4 linked regions of the Ovis aries genome follow. The protein of the gene in region 2 purifies or fractionates together with the protein of the main gene of each other region. This does not show direct contact. Links are inferred from orthologs where the notes say so. Each region holds a gene or a part of one and is shown on either strand. Other genes may lie near its edges.

Evidence for each region. The genes of interacting proteins can lie anywhere in the genome.
Region 1: the proteins of histone H2AX (region 2) and small ribosomal subunit protein eS10-like purify together in Homo sapiens (co-immunoprecipitation; 3 studies listed by BioGRID and IntAct, counting the BioPlex papers as one, with this or other methods). This does not show direct contact. The link is inferred for Ovis aries from reciprocal best matches to the Homo sapiens genes H2AX and RPS10.
Region 3: the proteins of histone H2AX (region 2) and KAT5 purify together in Homo sapiens (affinity purification with western blotting; 3 studies listed by BioGRID and IntAct, with this or other methods). This does not show direct contact. The link is inferred for Ovis aries from reciprocal best matches to the Homo sapiens genes H2AX and KAT5.
Region 4: the proteins of histone H2AX (region 2) and GON4L purify together in Homo sapiens (affinity purification with mass spectrometry; 3 studies listed by BioGRID and IntAct, counting the BioPlex papers as one, with this or other methods). This does not show direct contact. The link is inferred for Ovis aries from reciprocal best matches to the Homo sapiens genes H2AX and GON4L.

What each region holds. Positions count from the first base shown.
Region 1 is NC_056060.1:9,439,062-9,442,486, reverse strand, and holds small ribosomal subunit protein eS10-like, read right to left. Parts: upstream 1,762-3,425; 5' UTR 1,722-1,761; coding exon 1,224-1,721; 3' UTR 1,177-1,223; downstream 1-1,176. UniProt on the Homo sapiens protein: Component of the 40S ribosomal subunit. The ribosome is a large ribonucleoprotein complex responsible for the synthesis of proteins in the cell.
Region 2 is NC_056068.1:29,402,213-29,406,309, reverse strand, and holds histone H2AX, read left to right. Parts: upstream 1-1,672; 5' UTR 1,673-1,745; coding exon 1,746-2,177; 3' UTR 2,178-2,981; downstream 2,982-4,097. Other genes in the region: DPAGT1 (UDP-N-acetylglucosamine--dolichyl-phosphate N-acetylglucosaminephosphotransferase), read left to right, coding at 154-309, 393-458; HMBS (porphobilinogen deaminase), read right to left, coding at 3,594-3,884, 4,018-4,071. UniProt on the Homo sapiens protein: Variant histone H2A which replaces conventional H2A in a subset of nucleosomes. Nucleosomes wrap and compact DNA into chromatin, limiting DNA accessibility to the cellular machineries which require DNA as a template.
Region 3 is NC_056074.1:40,317,947-40,322,825, reverse strand, and holds the start of KAT5 (histone acetyltransferase KAT5), read right to left. Parts: upstream 3,477-4,879; 5' UTR 3,461-3,476; coding exon 3,283-3,460; intron 2,956-3,282; coding exon 2,887-2,955; intron 2,801-2,886; coding exon 2,664-2,800; intron 2,377-2,663; coding exon 2,221-2,376; intron 2,132-2,220; coding exon 2,057-2,131; intron 1,957-2,056; coding exon 1,882-1,956; intron 1,549-1,881; coding exon 1,300-1,548; intron 1,219-1,299; coding exon 1,129-1,218; intron 1-1,128. UniProt on the Homo sapiens protein: Catalytic subunit of the NuA4 histone acetyltransferase complex, a multiprotein complex involved in transcriptional activation of select genes principally by acetylation of nucleosomal histones H2A and H4.
Region 4 is NC_056054.1:105,863,807-105,868,934, forward strand, and holds the start of GON4L (GON-4-like protein), read right to left. Parts: upstream 3,477-5,128; 5' UTR 1-3,476. UniProt on the Homo sapiens protein: Has transcriptional repressor activity, probably as part of a complex with YY1, SIN3A and HDAC1. Required for B cell lymphopoiesis.

The DNA.
Region 1 (3,425 bases), on a different chromosome or scaffold from region 2:
GGGAGTTTTTCTTTCTTGTCCTCACATGCTGCGTTAAGCTTTATCGTATTATGCAAATGAAGAAGTCCGTGTTGGCGCTTTTTTTTTTTTTTTTTTTTTAAGAAGTGGCATAATCTTGTTGGTTCATTAAACAGGCCATCGTAACTCATGCTTTCCAGTATCCAACTACCAGATGACCAGGGGCAGGGACACAATGGCAGGGGTATGGATAACCATAGTCACAGTGTCTGAGTCCAAGAACCTGCACTTTCACCCAACCCCCACTGGGTAACTTCCTTCATCTGCCCAATTGATGGGGCACCTGCCATGGTTGGCCTCTCCCGTTTGCGGCCTCAGGAATTTTGATGCTCTGCCTGCCTCTTGGAATGGTTTTAGGCTCTAGAGCTGAGAAAATACAGCAGTTAATGTTGTTCTTGCCATTAACGCAGGCCTCTAATATTCTCCAGATGCCTTGGTCAAAGCACTGGGTTTTCCTGGAGAATGGGCCTTCCAGGAAGTCTCTCCTAATCTTAGAGTTTTGTTTTTTCTTTTTACAATGATTTGACAAATCACGGCTTTTTCCTCTGACCCTCTCTTTAAATTTTCACAGTCCTTCTCTCATGGAACCTGGCGCACATTCTCCGAGGAGCTTGGTTACAAAACAGTAGAAAACCACACACAGTGTTGCAAGCAAACTGTCCTTTTATCCATGACCGCAACTATTATCTCTAGACCTTCTCCTACCTTGAAGTATCCTCTCTGATCCAGGGTTGGTTTCAAAGGTCAAAGCATAGCACTCTTCCTATTCTTAGTTCTGAAATCTTCTTAGTCTGAGAGCTGAGTATTAGCTCCAACTTCTCATCATTCACTCCTCTAAAAAGTCCAGAAAGGCTCAGACAAGTAAAAGTCGTGCACATAACAGGAGATATGCAAAGTACCTCTATTATATCATCCCAGAACTATCTCATACTGAGCTATAGTTAAAGACATTGGAAACACTTATCTTTTAACTATCAATTTCTAATTTCTCCCTTTCCTTGGCTCCTGCAATAGTCTCTCCTGGAAACTCCTACCCAGGGTGTTAATTACCCCATCCTCTGCAAAACAAGAGAACTCTGTGTATATCTTCATCATCTACAGATATTAGATGCTTTAAGATGCTACAGAAAAACCCCATGAACTTTTTTTTTTTTTAACTTTTTCTGTTTACAGGTTTATTCAACATAAAACAACCCCTTTCAACTTTACTGAGGTGGCTGACCACGTCCACGACCAAATCCGCCTCTAAACTGGAATTCAGTTGCTGACCCAGCTCCGGCCTCGGCTTTCTTGTCGGCACCAGGGGGCACGGCGCTTCGTCTGTAGGTGTCTCCGTCGGCTTCCCCTCGCGTGAGTCTTGCAGGTCGCTCTCCCTCCAGACCTTTGGGCCGTGGCCGGCCAGTCTCAGGACGGCTGCGGCGCAGGGTGGCGGGCACGATCTCAGGGGGCAGGTGGAGGTAATCACGGAGATACTGGATGCCCTCGTTGGTGAGGTACCAGTAGAAACGTCTCCAGGCAAACTGTTCCTTCACATAGCCTCGTGACTTGAGAGACTGCATGGCTTTCATGATGTGAAGATTGGGCACATTCTCGTCTGCCAGCTCCGGGTGCTTGGGCATGTGGACATCCTTCTTGGCCACCATCACCCCCTCCTTAAAAAGGAGTTCATAAATGGCAATCCTGTTCTTCTTGGGCATCAACATCGCGACGGTTGCTGTGTCCGGGGCCGGCGCTGGAAAGGCCCCATGAACTTTTTGGCCAACTCGATATTACTGACTCAATGGACATGAGTTTGACCAAACTCTAGGAGATGATGATCAGAGAAGCCTGGCATGCTGCAGTCCATGGGATCTCAAAGAATCACACATGACTTAGCAACTGGACAGCAACAAAAATATTACTTTGTACTGGTACTACCAGAATCGGGTTCTATCAAAATCGGAATCTGTGAGTACATGTAGCCTGTTGGTATTCCCAGGAAGCCAGAGTGAGAGAGAGGAACAATGAGACAGACAAAGAGAGAAAGTCAGGTGAGGTGAGGTGAAGTCGCTCAGTCGTGTCCGACTCTTTGCGACCCTGTGGACTGTAACCTACTAGGCTTCTCCGTCCATGGGATTCTCCAGGCAAGAATACTGGAGTGGATTGCCATTTCCTTCTCCAGGGGATCTTCCCAACCCAGGGATCAAACCCAGGTCTCCCGCATTGGAGGCAGATGCTTTAACCTCTGAGCCACCAGGGAAGGCAGTAAAGGAAGAATCATTATGCAGTTTACAACTGTGGGTAACTGGGGCTGAATTCCAGTGGGAATTGGTTGGGATTTTCTGTGGGGCATTCAACACACACACACACACACACACACACCATATGCATTCAAGTAGCTTTAAAACTGAGACAGTGGTGAGGAGCCTTTAACATGCTTGGTTACTGTCTACCACAGCTCAAGTCAGAGGTGGCCAAAGGAATATGACCTGGGCATCAACCATCTCTGTAAGACCTGACACATCGTTGTCTTTTTTTTAGATTATATATCCCTCCGGGGCACACACCACATCTTGATCATTCACAGCCTTGATACCCAGAACAGTATCTGGTATAATCTGAAAACTAAATGATTGCATGAATAGATGTATAAATAGGGTTAAAAAAGAAATTTCGCTCACGTGAGGTTGGCACTCACCTAACAGCTTTTCTGATCTCTTTGTATCACTTGGCTTGTTAATAACAGTTTTTACCATACCTGCTGAAGCTTTGCCATAGCTGCTACATTTTATCATAGTACATAAAAACTGTAGGGAAAATTTCTAAAGAGATTTGTTTAAGAACAATGAAATTTCTAGATAAAAATTTTTTTTAATTATTTCTCTTCTTATTGCCTGCTTTGTCACCCACTTTTCACTGTAAAGGGCAACAGGAAAAAGTGGTCATGAAATAAAAACAGAAAACGTCTACTCGGTTAGGCAAGATTCCAAAGAAACTAATCATGTTTTCACAAGGGTATTAAACCAGTTTCCTGATTAAATTGTAGTTTGGTACACAAATGAATTTGAAAACTAAACTCAATGGAGATTTAGTGATGTGAGATTGTAATCAAGTCCAGTAATTTCTAAACCAGTGGAGTGAGGGTCCCAGAGCATTAGCTCAAGTTGAGAAGTTGAGAACTCAGACAGGTCTCAACACGTCAGGGTGGCCTGTAGATGGGCTCACCAGAGCACAGCTTTAAGAGGACTGAAGGAACATCTTGGGAAGAATAGTGGGAGATGTTGACAGCCAGCCCCTGGGCCTGAGGCCCTGACCCCACTGGGGAGCAGAAAGTATTCCTTTATCCTCTGACAGGCAATGTACTTGGTGGGGAAAGTGTTCTGCCCAGGGGAGGGGATGGGAGAACCCACGGCTGAGGTCTGAGAAGG
Region 2 (4,097 bases):
AAGGAGGTAAGGCTCTAGGCTGCCATTCTGAATTCAGGGAATGGGAAAACCTAGGCCTACATCAGACCTGAGGGGAGTTTGCAAGCATTCAGCAGATCCCATTCCTGAAGCATAAGTATTAGCAAAAGTTCTCTCCACCTTTGGCCTCTCCAGGTAGCAGAGAACCTTGGGCTACTGACGGTGCGCCACAGTGAGAATGAGGATGGTGCCTTCACTGAATGTAACAACATGACCCTCATCAACTTGCTACTTAAAGTCTTTGGGCCCATGCATGAGAGAAACCTCACCCTCTTCCTGCTGCTGCTACAGGTGCAATGCTATTGGGGGTGTGGTTTACACTTCCTTGTCTCCCTCTCTCCAGGGTTCTTACTATAGTTCGTTTCTCCTTGCAGGTCGTTGGTAGTGCTGTCACCTTCTCCATTCGGTACCAGCTTGTCCGACTCTTCTATGATGTCTGAGGCCCCGATCCATTGCCCTTTGCTTCACAGCCTCCGGGGTTACTGACTCAGGCCAACATCTCCTGGACCAAGACTGCCAACTAGCCCAGGCCTCTCCCACCCTTCATTTTCCTCCAGATTTTGTTCTCAGCATTTCCTTTCCCCTGTGATTATTGACACGTGGGCCTGTCTCACTCTCTAATGACTGGTGATTGGACTTTGCCTATGGCTTTCTTCAGCTTGCCACTCTCCCTCTCCATCCCATCTTTGCTGCCTCCTAAGTTGGGGTACTGTAGCTTTTATGCAATTGCCCACAACTCTGACACTCAAGGAGAATGCTGGACTTGGGGACAGAACCCTGGCTGGGGATAGAGACACAGGTTCAAAGGTGACTTGACATTTGACTATAAATTAAGTATTCTGATGATTAAGAGCAGACCGGGGGCCAGGTGCTCCCAGTGGTGACAATAAAGTATTGTCTTTTTCTTCTTGTTCCTATAGGTATATTTCCTATGTGGGCATTGTAGGGTGGATGGGGAAGGTTGAAGGAGGTATTTCCTCGGAGAGGATGCCTATCTCTGTCCCATCCTTTTTTCTTTCTTTCTTTTTTTTTAAGCACATCAGGCGCCTCCTAGCAAGAAGTGATCAGAAAGAACAGACCAGACAGAACATGTTGAATAAATGTGAAATCTGCTGCTTGGGTGGCATAAAGGGCCATAAGATTGGGGTTATCTGTTCTCTGGGGTAGGGTTGGACTTTAAGTGGGGGTCTCATTCCTTCCCTTTTTCACTCTTCTTTTGCCAGGTAGGAGGAGGGAGTGACCAGACCTAGGACGGGAGGCAGAGGTAGTTGTGGTGTTGACTCTTTTCCTTTAAAAATCTTAGGCCTGCCTTGCGCAGACTTCCCAGACGCTCTTGAGGTGGCTTCCGATTCTACCCTTCTTGTCTTCCGGTTCTGGTCTCGGGCTATAGCGTTTAAATCTGGCGCGCTTCACTTGGATTGGCTACAGCCGAGACTGGCTGGCTGTCGGGTAGTCTCTGCGCCTCCTCCCGTGTTCCCCGGGCAAAGGGTTTTCAAATTCGGCCAATCGGCGGACGCGTTCCCTCAACTGGGGCGCGTCACCGAAGAGTTAACCTCAGCCAACCAGAGGCGGGTATTCGAGAAAAGAGCCAATCAGAAAGGCGCGGGGGTGTGCCCTGAGGGGCTTATAAGGGCAGCCCGTGGTCGCGCGCGGAAGCGTTAGACTGCGGCGGGTGGTTGTTCCTGTGTTTTGTTAGCCGTCCTCACCGCTCCTCTACCTCATACAGCATGTCTGGCCGCGGCAAGACCGGCGGCAAGGCCCGCGCCAAGGCCAAGTCGCGCTCTTCGCGAGCAGGCCTCCAGTTTCCCGTGGGCCGCGTGCACCGGCTGCTGCGGAAGGGCCACTACGCCGAGAGGGTGGGCGCCGGCGCGCCGGTCTACCTGGCGGCGGTACTCGAGTACCTCACCGCCGAGATCCTGGAGCTGGCGGGCAACGCGGCTCGCGACAACAAGAAGACGCGGATAATCCCCCGCCACCTGCAGCTGGCCATCCGCAACGACGAGGAGCTCAACAAGCTGCTGGGCGGCGTGACGATCGCCCAGGGAGGCGTCCTGCCCAACATCCAGGCCGTGCTGCTGCCTAAGAAGACCAGCGCCACCGTGGGGCCGAAGGCGCCAGCGGGCGGCAAGAAGGCCACCCAGGCCTCTCAGGAGTACTGAGGGCGCCCGTGCCGCCACCGCCCAGCCCTCCCCTCTACACCACAAAGGCCCTTTTAAGGGCCACCACAGCACTCACAGAAAGAGCTGGGCCACTTCGGGCTCCCGGCCTGGCGGCCGCGCTGTCGCCCCTTCCCGGCCCGCCCCTCCCCCCCGCGGCTGGCTCCCGCCGAAGCCCGGCGGAGGGCGTGCGTTCGAACGCCGCTCGGCCCCGGGAGCGAGCTCGTGACTCGGCCGGCTTGGCCCCAGAATGCCGATGGGCTGCGGGGAGGCCGCGGCACCTTCCGGAAAGCCGGGCCGGGGAGTGCGGGAGGAAGGTGAGTCGGTGCGGACGGTCGCCGCCGAGGCCGTGCGCTCTGCTTCAGCTCGGTGCTTAGTACAGGACTCGATTGTCGCCGCCGGCGGAGTCAATCGGTTGCTTCATTTCGTCCCAGGACCCCTTTTGTTGCCGGATCTCGGGCCTCGCACGTCCGCGTTCCCTCCATCTTCATTCGCAGGCCTGTGCGCGTACTGGAAGAAACCCTTCGCGGCGTGACCGTCTCCAATACTAGCGGGTCCTGGCGGCGTGGGGTCTGCGGGAGCCCTGCCTCCGGGCCCGCCCCTCCTCCCCACTCCCTTCCCGTCGGGTCCATTCCGCCTGCCAAGCACCTAGATACCAGCACAAGTCCGTTAATCCCCGTCTGGACTGAGCCGCCTTTGGCTTCGGAACTGGAATTTTGCAGCTAACCCATCCAAAACTAGTACTTTAGGTATTGGGGGGAGTTTCAGATGGACTAATTTTATTAAAGGGTTTTTTCCTAAAGAAAAGTGAGTTGTGTTCATTTTGCAAAAGGGTTGTAGAGTCGACTCTGTAGATACCTAAAGGTAGTGGGGGAGGGGAACCGATATAAGGCTTTACTGTTAACTGGAGCGACAAATTGTAGATTATTAAGATGATGGCTTTCTTGGCGTTCCCTGGGAGACACTCGATTCTGTCAAAAAATGGGAACTACTGACAGAAGGCGTTTTTCAGGAGAACTTTGAAAGGGTCCTAGCCTCAGAGATCAGGCATAAATAAAGAGTTTTGAGTTTGTCCTTCCTTTTCTGCAGCTCCACCAAAAACAAAAACCACCTTTAAATTTGGTTTATTAGTAGAACTGGTTACATTCAAAGGCTGTGGCTTCTTATTAAGATTTTTTTTTTCTCTAGAGAGGAAGCCCCCTCCTTGCCTCCTGGGGAGGCAAGGCCCCTCGGTGAGACAAGTCTCTGGAAGTCTCTGCCCCTGCAGTTCAATCCTGTGGGGGTAGCCACTCCTCAGGTAGCAGAGGGCTGGGATGTAGGCACTGGACACCAGCAAGGCAGGCACCTGTGCCCCACAGACCAATTAGTGGGCTTCATTGAGCTGCCGTGCAACATCCAAGATATTCTTGGCTCCTTTGTTCAGCAACAACGTGGCCAGGCTGATGCCCAGGTTCTCAGCAGCCAGCTGGGGTTGTCGTGGAATGTTCCGGGCAGTGATGCCCACCAGCTGTGGATCATCTTCAGGGCCATCTTCATGCTGGGCAAAGGAAGAAGGGTTGGATTTAGTGAGAAGGAGAGGGGAGGTAACAAAGATGTGTTTCCTCCCCCCTGCAGCCTTGGCACCTGGACAGGGACATGGATGGTGGTTTGCATGGTGTCTTGCATGGTCTCTGCGCCATTCAGACTCCAGACTCCTCCAGTCAGGTACAGCTGGGAAAGAAAATGGCTGCCTCAGTAAACTGTAAGAGAACTGCTTAGAAACCTGTGCTCTTCATGCTGGTGGATACACAGGGGAAACGCCAGAGTTCCTTCCCTGCCCTCCCATCCATCTCCCCCTGCTTACTTGCCCATCCTTAATAGCTGTATGCACTGCCACTGGCACACTGCAGCCTCCTTCCTGCAACAAGTTCTCCCTGTTAGCTT
Region 3 (4,879 bases), on a different chromosome or scaffold from region 2:
CAAGCCTGCACCTAACACAGTTAACGGTGGTTAAACCAGCATCTTTCTCTTAAGCTCCCCCAGCACTCAAGCCAGAGTGCTCTCCTGCCAGTCAGTGATTGTCCTTCCCTCCCCACCCTCCAGGGCCCAGGGATGGAGGCCTTTCACTCTTAAAGGTCCTTGCAGGCTATTCCCTTCTTCCTCCTCACAGCCAGAATAAGGCAGGTGTGAAGCCCCAGACCTGTAATGTCCCCACTTCCCAGCTGACCTCAGTCCCACCACCTGAACTCTCTCCTTGTAACAGAGCCTTCCTTCATCCTGTCTGCGCTCCAGCTGGAAGGACAGCTCTTTGATGCTCACTGTCTGCACAGGCACACCTCATTTTATTAGCTTTCACAGAGATTGCTTTTTTTTTAAACAAAGGTTTGTGGCAACCCTGCCTTAAGTTTATCAGTGCCATTTTCCCAACAGCATTTGCTCATGTCACATCTCGTCACCTTTTCATAATTCTTGCAATAATATTCCAAACCTATTCATTATTATTGTATTTGTTACAGTAATCAGTGGTTTTTGATGTTACCACTGTAATTTTTTTGAGATACTGTTATTGCACCCTTAATAGACTATGGCACAACATAAATATAACTTTTATAGAGTTTGGGAAACCAGAAAAACTCTCGTGACTGCTTTATTTCAACGCTCACCTTGTCACAGTGGTCTAGAACTGAACCTGCAGGATCTCTGGGCTCTGCCAGTACGTCCACTCCTGCCCTTCAGAACCCGCTGCTGGGGATTCCTGTACCCACCCTACCCTTGTGTCAAGGTTCAGAGGTTACCTCCTCTTTGAAGCCTTGCTGATCACCCTGGGATCCTGACAGCCCACTTTTCTCATGAAACATATCACACTGGGATCCAAACTGCTACTGGCCTGTTTGTCTTCCCCTGTGAGCTCTCAGAGAACAGAGATTTTGTCAAATTCCTGGTCACTTTTATCTACCAGCACCCGGCCTACAGCAAGAATGCAGTAAATGCGGTGAAGAGATCTGTCCCCTGTAACTGTCAGTGTCTTCCGGAGCTGGAAGAAGCTACTCACTCAACTCCCCCAGACTCCCGGCACCAAAGCCTTCCCGCTGCCCTTCAGCCCCTGACCTTGTTCTTACGTCCGTCGATCTCAAAGAAGGAGATGGTGCCCTTGCGGTAGATCTCATTGCCAGGAGGATGTCGCAGGTCACACTTGGTCTGAGGAAGAGAGGAGGATCAGGCACAGGGGCGGAGGTGAGGGGGTGCTGCTAGGAGGGTGGCCCCTGGGACTCCCCATACCAAGTGACGCTGCAGACACTTGAGGCTTCGGCCATACTTGAGGCAGAACTCGCAGAGGTAGAGGACGGGCAGCGCGGTGAGCTCCTGAGGGTACGGGGAGAAGTACCAGGGCTTGAGGCGGTGCCGGCCCAGCTCGATGCACTCGATGTTCTTCATCCGGGTGACGATGTCGTCGTGGCTCCGGTCAGATACCAGGCTCCCAGTCATGCGAGGAGCGGACGGGATTCCATCTGAGCTGTCCTGGGAGTCCTTCCCAGGGCCCGTGAAAGATACCAGGTTACAGAAGACAACGCAAGCAGCACACTCCACAGCTCACAGCCCTTCCACAGGTTTCCTAACAGCAACCCTCCTAGGGGAGGTACTGCAATCCCCACTTGCCAACTGAAGAAACCAAGACTTGGATGATTTTCACCTGGAAGGTGATAAAGATCACCTAGTGCAGGATCTGAATCAGTTCCGCCTCACCCCTAATTCCAACACCCTTTCTGCCCAGTACCCCTTGTTCATTTTTAAAGTAGTCACTAAACCCCGTGCCCTCCTTATGTCCCCTTCGTTTCACCCTTCCCTCCTCCCCAGACCTACCTCATCAGTGCCCAAACAATTTGATTTCCGCTTCCGCCCGGGCTGAGCTGCCACTGCCCTCCGGGCTGATCCATTCTGCAAATGATAGTGGAGGGACAGAAAGAGTGGCTGTGAGGTGAGCCCAAAGGGGCTATCAGAGGGTAGGAGGGCAGAAGAGATGGCTTGGGGGACTCACCTGGGGGAAAACTGAGGCCGGGGCTGTCTCGCTGGGCACTGGAGTTGCTGGTGAAACCACCTCCACCTTCCGTTTCTGCAGAGAGAAACCAGGACAGGTGGGTCAGAAGGTAGAGAAGGTGGGACCTGAGAGGAAAGCAAGGTCCCTGGAATTGCTGAGGGTACCGTTGAGCGGTGGTTGGGCTGCAGGCAGGAGCTGGAGGAGAGCGGCTGGTCGGGCTCGCCACCGGGAATGGCCTCCCGCTCCTTGGGCAGGTTGAAGCGGAGTGTGATCTGAACCGGGATTGGCAAAGTCTTCCCGCTGGCCTGGGCGGAGGCCGGCTGTAGAGATAGGTCCAGGGTCTTCCTCTGGGGCTGGGATGGTGGTGGGATGGGGAAGGGGAGTAGGGTCCCCTCGGCATGGAGTGATCAAACCCCACCCTCTGCCCTCTCAAGGACACAGGTACAGTCACTGGACTCTGGAAGCTACATCTGCAGTCTGGGCCCCATCCTTTACAAGCTGAAGCCAGGGTGGGAGGGCACAGCCTGTCGCCCATCTGGGAGCCACTGAGGCCAAGAGATTTTAAAAGTAGGCAGGAGAGAAGAGGTGAAGCAGGGGACCTACTCACCACCTCTCTCTCTGGAGAGCCGGGTCGGGACCCAGGAAGTCCGTTCTTAGTGGGGGTCTTGGCCTCTTTCTTGGGGAACTGGATCTTCTTCAGGTCCAGCCGCTCGTGGGTCACCCATTCATCCAGGCGTTTGTTGACTGCAGCAGTGGGTATGGCTCAGGAAGGAGTGCCAGAGGCTGCCCCCCAACCCTCCAGCCCCACCTCATCCCGGCCCAGAACTCACAATCAATGTAATGGACGTAGAAAAGCTTCCGGCCACTGATGTCCTTCACGCTCAGAATCTCAGCGAGTGCTGTGGGAACAGCAAAGGCAAGGGCCTTAGACTGGCCAGGCCATGAAGCTCCACCCTCCTACGATCTGAACTCCACCACCAGGCCCGAACCCTAAAGCCCCAGCACTTGGAACCGCTCTCAAAAGCCCCGGTTAGTCACCAAGTGCCATCCCCTCTTCAAGCCCTGCCCTGACCAGCTCTAAAGGCTAAAAGCCACGCCCCTCCTGAGTATCTGCGCCCCGCCCGCTCCAGGATTCTAGAGGCCCCACCCCCTCCCCGGGGTTCGGTTGACTCTCCCCCCGCCCCTCGCCCTCAGGTTCCTTAGCCCCGCCCCCCGACGTCACTCACGCCACTCATCTTCGTTGTCCTGGTTCCGCCGCAGCACAGGCAGGCGGCAGCCCTCGATTATCTCCCCCTGGGGAGACAGCGCGGCGCCAGGGTCGGCTACTGGGGGGCCTCGGGCTCTACCCACCTCCCCTGGCTCCCTCCGCCCCGCCCCGGGCACCGGACTCACCACCTCCGCCATCTTCCCTCCCTCCACTGCCACTTCCGGCCCCTCTGGGAGCCGTCACTTCCGGGACTGAGCACGTTGTAGGCCCCGTCTTCCCCGAAGCGGCTTTACTAGTAGGTTCTTAAGAGACACCGCCGCCCAGCTTGCTGACGGAGCCGGCCAGTTTGGCTGGCAGGGGCATAGGGTGTTTTAAGGCTCAGGTCAGGTCCTGGATGGAATCCCCACAACGTGTGCAACGATTGGAGGAAAACTGAGTCAGTCACGTGACGCTCACCGGGTGCGACGCCGGTCACGTGGGATTGGTGTTTGTGCCTAGCGGGCGGCCGCTTGGCCGTCTCCTAGTGGCGTCAAGGCTGCGTCACGGGGAGTGAGCTGCGTGTGCTCGGCTGGGGGGTTGAGGGGCGGATTTCGAAAAGTGGGCACCAGGACCCCCGCAAGTTGTGGACTTTCCTAGGGTTGGGGGTCCACGGAAGAAGGTTTATAGGTTTGTTTTGTATGTTAGGTTGCTAATTATACGAGTTGTTATTGTTCAGACGTCTAAGTCGTGTCGACTGTTTGTGACTCCCGTGAACTGCCAGGCTCCTCTGTCTTTCCCTATCTCCCGGAGTTTGCGTAAACTCATGTCCATTGAGTCAGTGATGCTCTCCAACCATTTCATCCTCTGCCCTCCCCTTTTCTTGCCCTCAGACTTTCCCAGCATCAGTGTCTTTTCTTCGCATCAGGTGGCCAAAGTATCGGGGTTTTCATGTTCACCGTCAGTCCTTCCCATGAATAGTCAGAGATGATTTCTTTTAGAATTGATTAATACATTCAACAACTGTTTAATAATCTGTTACCGTGTCCCAGGCATTTTATCTAGGAGCCTGGGATACATCAATGAATAAAATAACTTGCAGCTCCTGGAGCTTGAATTCTTGGAGGCTGAGAGGGAAAAGAGGGGTGTGGATCACAAACAGTAAATATATTTTAAAAATAAATTATCTAGTCTATTAAAGAGTGATAAGTGTTTTGGGAAACAGCAACAACGAAATACACAAGGTGCAGGGAATGACCAGGTAGGCAAACTAGCCTGCAGGGCAAATCCAACCCTATTCTAGCTTTCCTGCTCAGTGGGCAAAGAATGGTCTTCACACTCTTTTTAAAGCTTGGGGAGACATAAATAGAATATTTCATGATACATGGAAATTCTGAAATTCAAATTTCAGGGTCCATAAATTATGTTTTATTGAAACATAGCCACCATCTCATTCACTGACATTTTGTCTATGACATCTTCCACGTTAAAGCTGAATGCCCACAAAGCCTAAAACATTTACTGTCTGGCCATTTACAAAAAATGTTTGCCAACCCATGCTTTACCTTCTATTGTGCTATCAAACAGGGTGTCCCTGGTAGCTAAGTGGAAAGAATCTGGCTGCAATGCAGAAGACACAG
Region 4 (5,128 bases), on a different chromosome or scaffold from region 2:
CGAACCAGGTACCAAGTTGGGTAGATTTAGCCTAAAAATGCATTTTTCGGTTCTTTGCCTCAACTGCCAAGCACTGGGGGCAGTTGGCACCATTTCAGGGAACCTCAAAATAGAGATCCTCAAGACAAATGGTTCTGGCAGCTACTTTGGGCCTTATCTCAATACTCCTTGATAGGGGCTGGCTTAGCCACGATATCAGCAAGGCTCCTGGACTGGCTTGCTAAATTTGTTAGTCCAAGATCTCTCGCCTCACCACATGAGAGGCCAATAAATCCAAGGGACGGGGTGTTCAGGCAAAGGCTACGACTTTATTTGGAAAGTCAGCTGACCAAGAAGATGGCAGACTAATAATCTCAAAACAAGCACCTTGTCAGGGTATGCTGCCAGGTTCTTCCATGAATCAGACATGAGTGAGATGAAGAAACAAAGCAAGAAGACCATTTAATTCTTGCCAGTATCTCCTAGAATGGTAAGCCTCAGGCAGGGCGATGCATTAGCTCCTTTTTTCTTACAGTCATTCACAGGTGGGCAGGATCAGATTATATCTCTGTGAGCTAAACAAAGGGCATTTTAATTTAAGAGTCAGGCAGATGGGACACGGTTCTCTGAGGCAGACCATTATATATGCTTATAACAACAAAAGTAGCAAAAACAAGGGTTAAAGTCATAGATCAAGCATGAAGCCAAAATTAACCTTTCCCGGTTATAGGCTCTGGTTTACAAAGGTGAAATCTTTACTTTCTGGCCTCACCATGCAGCTTGTGTTATCTTAGTTCCCCAAGCAGGAATCAAACCTGGGACCCAGAAGTGAAAGTGTCAAGTCCTAACAACTGGACCACCGGAGAATTCCTTGTGAGATCTTTCTTAAGACCCTAGCATCTATCCACCTTGGGTTTCTGGGGTCTGTGAACACAAGAAAACTAAGATGGAAATAAAAGATTCCAGAGTTACATATCTCAAGTTGCTTACTGTTTCCAGAACTGTGTAATCAGACACATTTCACAGTCTATAGAGAATTCTCACATATATACTCATTTGATGCTCATAATACAGAAAATTATGTATAATCATCTGATCACCATTTAACTATTTAAAGACTATCAGTTTAATATCATATCCTTTATTCCTGTGTTTACCCATCATGACAAGAAAATCAGAACTACTGGGATATGCTTCAAGTTCAAACACTTATTCTCAAACATTTCAAATGTTACCTAACCATAGTGGCCTTCCCAGACCACTGTGTATAAAACTGCAACATAATTACTATAAAGCATGATATATTTTTACTGTTTATATATTTTATCATTTTTATAATATATATATTTTTCAATATACAATATACTACTTATTACTTGACTTTCCCCATGAGAATATAAGCTCCAGGAAGGCAAGGATTTTAGTCTTTTATAATTACTACATTCCAATACCTAGAACTCTGCCTGAAACAGCAGGTACTCAATAAACATTTGTTGAACGAAAGCCTATTTTGCATCAGTGAGGAGCAAAGGGCTATGATGTACCTAAGGGCTCCACTGGCAACAATGGTCAAACCCTTCGCTCTACATGGAGAGAACAGGAGTTGGGGAGACCATCTTTTGCAAAGGAGGTGGCTCTCGTGACCCTGGTCTAGGGGAAAGCTATCTATGGAAACAGCCAGGAGTCTGGAACAGGCCTAATCAACACTACCCAAGCCTAGTCTTGCTCTGACCCAGGGATCCTAGTGTGTGGTCTTTGCCCCCCGTCTCTACTTACTAATCCACAGGCCAGTGCTTGCTCAGGCAACAAGAAAGCAGCAAAGTCCTTCAACAGCTGAGGCCAGTCCTGGAGCAGAATTTGCAGGCTCTTGTAGAGATCCACAGCTGTCTGCCTGAGTGCTTGACTCAAACTCATGGATGACCTGAAGAAGTCTTCATACTTGCCAGGGATATGCTGCAGGGCTTCTCGGACCTGTATGAGAGGATTTTCAATCATCCAATCCCTTCTTTGGGCCCTGACAAGAAACAATGGGACCGAGGAAGGAGGAGTTACTGTTAAAGAGCTCCAGATTATCCGTCAGAGGCTACTCCTCTGACAGGTCCTAAGATCTGATGATTAATGGAAGCCACAGGGCCATGAGCAAGGCAGAGCTCTTTTTCTGACAGTGAGGAAAGGGAAAATTTATATTTTCCAGGGACCACAGTGCTACCCACAAAATCAGGTGAACTTTTCTCTAGCTCACAGCCTGGGCCTCCCCTTCCTGGTTTCACCTCCATGTTGAAATAGATAAGGAGTGCTTGGTATATATATTTCAGCATGGTATCATCTGAGGGTAAATAATACGTAAATTAGGAATGTCAGTAAAATATCAGGAGACAAGAAAAACCATGACTATCACTGCTAGGACTCCACTTTGCTGGGAGTATAAAGGAACCAGGTGGTTACGAAAAGAATGAGATAGGGACCGCTGCCACAAACAGGTTGGTTCATGACTCTGAAGATCACTGAGGTCCACTTTCTGGTCAATGTACCAAATGTCTATTTTCTCAAGCCAAGGGCTCAGTTAAAGTCTTTATTAGCCTACCCTCACACTGATGATGGTGGCTATCACCTTTCCTCAGTTTTGTGGCAACAGAGGGGTGGTATCCCTGGGCAGTAACAATAAATCTGTTGATGACTAAACTTGGCGTCCTTGTGGTTCACTCACACAGCTCTTGATATTTCTAGGAAAACAAAGGCAGAAGCATAGAAGGCTGTTGTGCAGTCTAAAAGGCAGACTTCATTTTAAAAACATCTCCCCTGAAGGAAAAGCAGTCTTGTTCAGAGGGGTTGGCAGGAACAGAAAGCAGCATTTGCCTGCCCTGGTCAGATACACCTGAGCAAAGGCCAAATCCTTCCGTTCCTGGAGAGGATCTCACTTGAGGATGCCTTCATCATACAGCAACAGCAGCCTGGAGGTGTCCTTGTTGGCCCGGGCCCAACTGCCCTGCTTGCTGAGAGCTCGATGATTACTCCAGCCCTTTCCAGCAGCTCTGATGCTCTCTCCTTAGCATACAACTGTTTTTCTGTACCTGCAGCCTCTGCTCTCCCCAACCCACCACAGGCACCCCAACTCCATTCAAATCCTATTCAAAATTACATAGGAACTTGGGAGAAAAGCTGCTGGAAAAATGCTATGACAGGTAATGTCTGTCCCCGCCAAGTCAGCTCTGTGGAGTGTTGACGGCATGACTGCATTAACTGGGATAATGAGATGCTTAGCTACTGCATGTTGAACACAGAAGTCTAAGTGTGGTCTGATGCTGGCTCTCAAAGAACTATGTCCTGGTGAGGAACAAGCAGTACTTTCTGAAATAAACATTGCTCTTGGCCTCATACATGACTGATGAATTAAGAACCAGTATAAAACCCTGCATGAACAGAGTACAAATCTAGCAGCTGATGAGAGACAAATTTTTAATTTCTGAGCATCTCTTCTCTGCAGTGGCAGCAGGTTAAACATCTATTTGGGAGTAGGGTGACTGGCAGGCGGGATCCAAAGGATTTCTTCTGGAAACTGGCACCTGTTTTATAAGCCTGTCACTCTGCACATGTCCCTGTGTCAATGAGGCCACCTGAGACCTATCTCCACTCAGGCCTGTCCTACTCACCCTTGATGGTCTTCACTTCTGGAGAGGCCTTCGGGGAGGCACAGGTAACAGATGGCTTCTCGGCAGGGTCTCCAATGGCTTCGTCTATTTTTTCATCCTCTTTCTGCAGGATTTCCATTCTTTCTGCTTCTTCCTGCTTCTCCTTTCTCAGGCTGAGTTCTCTTCTGGGAGTTCTATTCCTCAGACTCACCCTCCTAACTCATGTACTTTTCAGATGTGAACCAAGTCTGTTTCTCCATTGTTTCCTTAAAAACCCCCAAACAGTATGCATGAGGGATACAATGGCTCACCATGGGCTACTTACAGAGTTTTTCAGAAGGGACTGAGGTTAATTAATTGATGACAGAGGTTGGAAGCCAATGGGTTTTTTTCCGGGGATTTTGGAGGTTTTTGTTTGTTTTTTTTTTCTCCTTTTCATTTTCTTGGCCATGCTGTGCAGCTTAAGAGATGTAAGTTCCCTGATCAGGGACTGAAGCCAGGCTCCAGCAGTGAAAGGAAAGTGGCAAGCCCTAATCACTGGACCATCAGGGAATTCCTGAGCAGATGTGTTTTGAAACATCTCCCTGAAGATAACTGTCCTTTGCCAGAGTCCATGCTTATCATCCTTTTTCTATTTTGTGGTTATTTACATTGTGCTCAGGTGATTCAATTTAATGTAAATGAGTTTAAGTCAAATATAATAAGGAACATTTAACTCTTTCCCTCTCCTCTCACAAAAGACAAAAATGATTTTAGGACTATCTCTACTGTAAAAAGCAAGCAGGTAGCCTATCAATAAATTAAATCTATTACTGAATCCACAAAATATTGAAGAATATTGCCCAGCTCTCACCTGGAGTTCCGGGACAGAGGACAGATTCCTCAGAAGCTGATGACACTTCGTCTTCCTGATCCTGGGTAAGGTCGTCAAAGTCCTCTTCTTCCTCTGGCCCATCCTTCTCTTGCAGTTTCTGGCCCAGCTGGTCCCACTGACTGAACATCAACGCTGGATAAGTCTTCAGGCTTCCTTGGGGAAGGAAGCCCCCCTTCCTTGGCGGGCTACCATTTCAGGGTCAGTGGAGGATGAAGTATTCCTTGGGGACCCTTTGCTTACATCTCTTGAATTTCCTACATCAGGAGGCTCATGAGAAGCTGAAAGGATTTTAGGTTGGTGAAAAAGTAATTGTGGTTTCAGACTGTGAATTTTAAATGATTATAAATAGGCTCAAACACACCTTTATTAATCAAAATATGAACCATCACAATCAACACATTTTTGCCAATGACAAATACATTTGTTTATTCTGTAGCATAACAATTCATGCTTCAGTAGTAGAACTCTTGGAAAGCATTTTGTGCCTCCTGCTGGTTATGAAAGCATTTTCCCTGCAAAAAGTTAATGAGATGCTTAAAAAAGTGGCTGTTGGTTGGCGAGAGGTTAGGTGAATATGTGTATGAGGCAAAACTTTATAGCCCAATTTGTTCAGCTTTTGAAGGGTTGGTTGTTCGATGTGCGGTCA